Macaca mulatta: one gene and its partner. The protein of the gene in region 1 interacts with the protein of each later gene in a biochemical or structural test. Links are inferred from orthologs where the notes say so. Each region holds a gene or a part of one and is shown on either strand. Other genes may lie near its edges.

Evidence for each region.
Region 2: the proteins of CD2 (region 1) and CD58 form a complex in vitro, tested with the Homo sapiens proteins (3 studies listed by BioGRID and IntAct, with this or other methods). The link is inferred for Macaca mulatta from reciprocal best matches to the Homo sapiens genes CD2 and CD58.

The regions. Positions count from the first base shown.
Region 1 is NC_133406.1:123,521,663-123,525,485, forward strand, and holds part of CD2 (T-cell surface antigen CD2 precursor), read right to left. Parts: intron 559-3,823; coding exon 328-558; intron 1-327. UniProt on the Homo sapiens protein: CD2 interacts with lymphocyte function-associated antigen CD58 (LFA-3) and CD48/BCM1 to mediate adhesion between T-cells and other cell types. CD2 is implicated in the triggering of T-cells, the cytoplasmic domain is implicated in the signaling function.
Region 2 is NC_133406.1:123,743,481-123,747,303, reverse strand, and holds part of CD58 (lymphocyte function-associated antigen 3), read right to left. Parts: intron 725-3,823; coding exon 461-724; intron 1-460. UniProt on the Homo sapiens protein: Ligand of the T-lymphocyte CD2 glycoprotein.

The DNA of each region.
Region 1 (3,823 bases):
CTCTCTGGAAAATGGGGTTTTGCATGAGATACTCTCTACAGCTCCTCCCTCTTCAGTTTTGCAATTCTTTCTCCTAGAAGAGGATCTTTAAAATTGCTTGTGGTCAAATTGTGCTCAGTGGGAGGACTCCCAGGATGGGTAACCATAGAATACCACCCCCCGCCCCGAGGCTTCCCTTGAAGGTTTCCAGGAAGAAGAGATACGTTTTCACGCTTCATCCTGAGCCAGGGCTGCCTCCCAGCATGAGCACCTGTGACCTGGAGCAGCTTGCCTCTACTTCCTGAGGGCCTGGAGAGCTGTGTTTGTGAAGTGACGCCTGCCACGCACCTGGACAGCTGACAGTCTCCATCCTGGATTCCTTGCTGACTTTGTTCCCTGCTGTGCACTTGAATTTCGCACTCAGGCTGGTGGTCCACTTGTGTGTGATGACCCTCTGAGAAAGTTTTACATGTTTCCCATCTTGATACAGGTTTAATTCGGGGTCAGTTCCATTCATTACTTCACAGGTCAGGGTTGTGTTGATACAAGTCCAGGAGATCTTTGGTTCTGAGACCCTCTCTAAAAAGAAAATAAAGATCCAGTTCAATTTAGGCAATTTTCTGATTTTAATGAGCATATCTATTTATATAGTGGGGGATGGAGTCAGTTAGGGACAAGGGAACCATGTCAAAGACCTCTAGCACCTTTTGGAAATGATTTTATTTACAAAGAGCATTCAGAAAAAAATTATTTCTGATGACATTCATAGATACATTTTGCCACTAAATAATGTATCATATGTAATGTTTATATGCTGTCTTATACCTTAAAATGCTTTCACATGTATGATACCACTTAATCCTAACAGAGAGGCTGATGTTTTTCTTCCCATTTACAGAAAAAAATGTTCAAGGCTCTGAGAGGTTCAGTGAGTGGCCTTAGGGCACCATCTAAATAAAACATGGCAGTCAGGGTTTAGGAATATGGCTAAGAGGGTGCCTCGGGAGTTTGAGAAGGGCAATGCTTTAAGAGCAGCCAGGAACCCCATCCTGGAGGAATCGCCACATTGACATGTGAACGGGGACCTCGGATACTTCTGCCCCAACCAAGTTCCTGGAGCAGAGGGCCAGGTGGGTACATGTGAGCACGTGGGTGTCCAAGGAGCTCAAGGCTCTGGGGAAAAAGAGCACCTGCCTGGGAACCAGAGACTTGGTTCTGCCTTTTCCCAGCCCAGAGCTGCTCAGCTGCTCACAGGGTCTACACTGGCCCTCCTCAGAGCATCAGAAAAGGATCAGAAAAACATGCCCCACCTGTCACAAAAGGAGCAACATGTGGCAAAGTCCTGGGCAGATCATTAGGCACTGACATTATTAGTGGTAGTTCATGCATTCAATAATCACAAACTTCTTGCCTCTCCCGGAGAGAGACTGCATCATAAAAGGAAAATGCCTGGGCTTGACATTAGATGGCTCAGGTCTACATCCTAGCCCCATCACTTCCTAGCTGTGTGACCTTCTCTTTTTCCTCCTCCTCTGGTTTTTTTTTTTTTTTCTAATTCTTTGCTTTGTTTCCCCCAGACTTGCCACTTTTCCCTCTCAGTTTCTCTCCATTCATAATATAGACCCACTAGCTTATTTTTCAATGATTCCCTCCCACTCTGACTTCCAGACACCAATATCTTCCCCATGGAACATGACAGTCAAACTTCATTTATGTCCCAATATATATAGGCATGCAGAAATTAATTTAAAAGTTTTCTTCTCATCCCATGATGATCAGTTCTAAGATGCTATCGGCGTTACTGAGAAGGAAGAAAATGGAAAGTATCTACACTCAGCAACCAGTTAGTACATAGTCTAGGGGTTGGGTCATGAAGTTTGCCTGTCTCTTCAGAATGGATTTTTTTTTTTTCTACTTATAACAGTAACACAGTAACATGATTGTGATGATGGTTGCAAAACTGAATATACTAAAGGCCATTTTAGTATATGGACAAATTGAATGCTAGGTGAATTATCTCAATGAAGCTGCATGGAAAAAAAGAGAAAAGGCCATCATCCTTGCCAAAAAGACCTCTGAGTTTGAATCCTGACTTTGCTCCTGTCAAGCAATGAGACCTTGGACAAGCTGCTTCTGACTAGGTCTCTGTTTTCTTGTATTTAACAAGGAGATAATAACAGCCATGTCTCAGTATTGTTGGGAGCTTTAAGTAAGATCATGTAAGCAAGCACCTGACCCCTAGCTGGTAGCCACTATTTCCACCGCAATGCTAAATGCGACCCAAATGTGAAAACACCAGCATGGTCTCCCGCGTAGGGCTCACACTCAAAACAGGACACTCAAATTTTGTGCTGTTTGGAGTCCTGAGATCTGTGGTTTCCAGAGCCCATAATCAGGGGCCCTTTTGAGCGCCATGCTCAACCCCGCTACATTTCTACAAGGTGCTCCCACTCAGGGTTGCAGGACTAGGGTGTGGAAAGTTGTCACTGCAGGGGAGCTGACAGTGTCTGGGATTGCTGGACTGGGCAATCTGACACTGTCTGGGATTGCTGGTAGGCCCAGGTGCTGAAGACGGGGCTGGAGACAGAGAGGAAGAAGGAGGGGACCCTGCTTCTGGCGACATTTTCTGTGTGAAGCACAGAAATGCTTATTTGCTCACTGAATGGCTGGCCTGTGCTCATGCTGGGGTTCCTGTCTGCCTCCCCAAGCCAAGTGCAGCTTCCTCTTTTCCCTTCTTATCACTCCCTGCCCAGCATTCGTGGGCTTTCAACTTCAGTTATTGTACAAGTTGATAAAATATTTTTAAAAGTTTAAAGCAGATTAAAAATTACCCACAATGCCACCACTCAAAGTCAATAATGAATAATATTTTCATGTATATCTTTATCAGATATTTTCTATTTATGTGTACATATATAAATAATGTAATACTTCAGCTGGGTGAGGTGGCTCATGCCTGTAATCCAGCACTTTGGGAGGCTGAGGTGGGCGGATCACTTGAGGCCAGGAGTTCAAGAGTACCCTAGCCAACATGGTGAAATCCATCTCTACTAAAAATACGAAGATTAGCCAGGTGTGTTGGTACGCGCCTGTAATCCGAACTACTCAGGAGGCTGAGGCATGAGAATTGCTTGAACCCAGGAGGCAGAGGCTGCAGTGAACCAAGATTGCGCCACTGCACTCCAGGCTGGACGACAGAGTGAGACCCTGTCTCTCTCTCTCTCTCTCTCTCTCTCTCTCTCTCTCTCCCCTTCTCTCTCTCTCTCTATATATATGTAATATTTTTAAAATTAAAACTAGTTTATGTGATCTTATAGTCTGCCTTTTTCCCTTTATTGTGAAATTATATTATGACATTCTTTTTTAAATGAACATCAATAAATGCATATCTCCATCTTTTTAAAGGATGCATTCTTAATTTAATTGATTAATAAATTTCTGACTGCTGACTGTTCTAGCATTTCGCTAACATGAACAACGCAGTGACGGGAGTTGTGGAGTGGTACCTCCGTATACATTCACTAAGATAGCATCTTAGAACCGATCCAACCTAAGGCCTTCCATGGTTGAGAACTCCTTAGTTCTGAGTTGCTGGGATTAACCCCTTCCCTACCAGCATATGCTTCTAAGGAGCCCTCCACTGCCTCTTCAGCCTGCAGCAGCAACTCCCTCATGAAGGAAATGCAGGCACAACTACTGGAGTTTGAGAAGTTTGGAGGCTGGGTGCCGTGGTTCACACCTGTAATGCCAGCACTTTGGGAGGCTGATGCAAGCAGATCCTCTGAGGTCAGGAGTTTGAGACCAGCCTGACCAACATGGCATCTCTAACACAGTGAAACCCCAT
Region 2 (3,823 bases), about 220 kb from region 1:
CCAAGACAGATTGTCGTGATATTAACTTAGTGTTAGGCCTAAGGAAACAGATCAAATGCATGTTCCTGTAGTAGATATGTAACCTTTGAGAACATAATGATTATTAACAATATTACAGAGCAGCACTGTGAATAGTTAAAACCATGGGCTCTAGAGCCAGACAGCCTCTACTCAAAGCCAGGTTCTGCCACTTACTAGCTGTTACCTTGGGCAAACAACTTAAACTCTCTCTCTGTTGGTTTCTCACCAGGAAATAGGGATAAGTGAAGATTGAATTAATTAACATATGTATTAGAATGGTGCTCAACACAGAAAGTGCTAAATAATGTTAGCTTTACATCTATAATGGGGTTTCTGTTAAAAATTGTAACTTGTTTTACATTTCAAAATTGTGAACCTTAGGTTAGTCACCACATCTGTGGTTTGAAAGCCTCCATGACACATTTAGTTATTTACTCACCACTGCTTGGGATACAGGTTTCCGGAATGATTGATGATGTTCTTTTAAATAATGGATTGCTAGCAGTACACTGTACTTTTTGTGGAAGATCATTTTCCATCTTAAAATATATACGGGTTGAGTTATGTTTACATTGCTCCAAAGGACAATCCCATGAGTACGTGTTAAGTTGTGGATGAGTGTTGTAATGCTCCGGTATCATGCACTGGACTTCAATGCTTCCATTAGTCAATGCACAAGTTAGTGTAGGAGATGGAAGAGGCTCTGGAAAAAAAAAAAGTGTAATATTTAGTACAGAAAATAGTAATATTTAGACTCATCATCTGCAAATTTATGAAGAGCTCCCAACTTCCTTATGAGCTTGAAAGGATGAGCAGACAAACTCCTTGAGCATCAAGGACTGAGAATTCTTTCTTTTGCTAGGTCAGACCTACCTGTTCAAATTTAACAGAATAAATTCAGACCCTTACATGGTTTTGCTCTGGGTCCCCACCCAAATCTCATCTTGAATTGTAATCCGCATGTGTCAAGGGAAGGACCTGGTGGGAGGTGATTGTACCATGGGGGGTGGTTTCCCCATGCTATTCTCATGATAGAGAGTGAGTTCTCATGACATCTGTTGGTTTAAAAGTGTATGGCAGTTCTCTCTCTCTCCTGCTGCCTTGTGAAAAAAATGCTTGCTTCTCCTTCGCCTTCCGCTGTGATTGTAAGTTTCCTGAGGCCTCCCCAGCCATATGGAACTGTGAGTCCATTAAACCTCTTTTCTTTATAAATTACCCAGTCTCAGATAGATCTTTATAGCAGTGTGAAAACAGACCAGTACAGGCCCCAAATCCCTTATCCTCAATTCTGAAATCAAAAAATCTCTGAAGCCAAAAGAGTCTTCACAAGTTGGTAGCAAAATCATTAAGCTGCAAACCCTGACCTGACCTGAATTAACACAAGGATTTATAGTCTTTATTTTCTCACTTACTTCAAATATTCATTATCGTTTCACCACAAAAATATTCCTGTGCTTGGCAGGACACAGTGGCTCATGGCTATACATACTCCCAGCACTTTGGGAGGCTGAGGCAGCAGGATGGCTTGAGGTCAAGAGTTCAAGACCAGCCTGGGCAACATAGCAAGACCCTGTCTTTATAAAAAGTTTAAAGATCAGCCAGCAATGATGGCTCCTGCCTATAGTCTCAGGTACTTGGGACTACTTGAACCAAGGAGTCTGAAGCTACAGTGAGTTATGATTGTGCTAATTCACTCTAGCTCACTGCACACACTGGGCTATGACTGTATCAGACTGAGACCTCTAAATATATAGGAATGAAATAAATACTTGTTCCTATGCTTGACCCACAGGGTGCTCCCCATAATTAAGTGGGGTGCTTAATATGCAGAGGAAATATCTTGTATTACCTTTCCAAAATGTAAAAAAGAAATTTTAATTCCATAACACATCTGACTCAAAGCATTTTGTGAAAGATGGAGCTACACAGAGCCTTGTCAGGCCTGCCTATTGGTTGGGTTGGCCCTATTAATAGGCAGCGCCGGGTGCAGCATGTGTCACAGACCTGCCAGTCCAGAGGCCTCACTCCCACCCTTCCTCTAAGAAGCGCCTCCTATTGGCTAAGGCAGCGTGGATCTATGAGTTAAGACACTAACATGTCACATTCTGCCATTGTTGCCCTTTAAAAGCCTCAAGGCTAATTACTTTGTCCTACTGGTCCTTTATTTGTTAATTCATATGCCTTCTTGCATTTCAGCTACCCTCCAGCAATTAATCATAAGAGGCTTGAGGAAACATGCAAAAACATATGTAATATACAACAATGGTCATGGTAGCACTGGGATAATAAAGTATTGATACATTATAAACATCTATTAGAAGAGCATCTAAGTAAATTTAGGTTCACCAAGATAATGGAATACTATGTTGTCATTTAAAATGATGTTTTATAATATAAAACAAGTTAATAGCTTATGCTTCAATTATAATCTGAAAAATAAAAGTGTTTAATGGTTCCCCCATCTTCTCCTCCTCCTCCTGAATTCCTTCTCGCTCAGTTAAATAATGTACCCAGCTGCCTTGGTAGAAACCAGAGGCACACACTGACTTCCCTTTCTACTTGGGGCTTCCTAGCTTTTAAGTTTAATCTAGCTCACATAAGTCCTTACATACTTCCTTAAGATTTTCTTAAATTAAAAAGACTTTTAATCATCTTTTAAGCAGTGGAATTTCTCTGAATTAAATCTTCAGTGCAATCCAGTCCAATGGATAAGAAGTTGCTCTAGTTGACTCAAAATTGAAAGCCTAGAGCCCTGCTCCCCTAACTTCCTGTGGTCCCTTTGCCAACCCCACCCAATAGCAGCCCTCAGGGGACTTCCAAGGAACATGCATCCCCAGAATAGTTCAAAAATGCCTGTTCTCAGTATTTCATATACTTATGCCTGCCTCTGTAACTAGGCTGGGCATTTCTCAGTGGCAGAAAACCAAGCTTTCTACTTCCTTAGAAATGGTCCTTTGAGGCCGGGCGCGGTGGCTCAAGCCTGTAATCCCAGCACTTTGGGAGGCCGAGGCGGGTGGATCACGAGGTCAGGAGATCGAGACCATCCTGGCTAACATGGTGAAACCCCGTCTCTACTAAAAATACAAAAAAAAAACTAGCCGGGCGTGGTGGCGGGCGCCTGTAGTCCCAGCTACTCGGAGGCTGAGGCAGGAGAATGGCGTGAACCCGGGAGGCGGAGCTTGCAGTGAGCCGAGATCGCGCCACTGCACTCCAGCCTGGGTGACACAGCGCGAGACTCCGTCTCAAAAAAAAAAAAAAAAAAAAAGAAATGGTCCTTTGAAGCATTTCTCAAATTTTAAGGTGCATAAGAATCACCAAGGGTGCTTGTTAAAAATACAGATTCCTGAGCCCCACCATCCCAGGTACGTCTGATGTGTGTGCCCTATTCGTTCTGTTACAGATTCTAATGTATTGATCTAGCTCTGCCAATGTCTAGTCTTTCATCCAGCACTTTCTGAACTGAACAGAGGTGCATCATCAGCCCCAGAGACTGTGCATCTTTGGAGGACAAAGACTAGGTATGCCTCACCTTTCAACCACGGCACCTGACATAACGCAAGGCACACAGATGGCTCCTCACAAGTAGTACTGGACAGATGGGGAGACAGATGGATAGAAGGATAGATTCAGAGAGACAGTCTTCAAACAAAATGTAAATTCTTCTACCAGCTACCGCCAAAGAGGTACAGTATGGTGTTTAGCATGGACTCAGAAGCCCAACTGCTTGAATTCATATCCCAGCTTCATGACAGCTAAGAGCCATTTGACATTGGACAAGTTACTTAAATCACCTGTGTCTAGG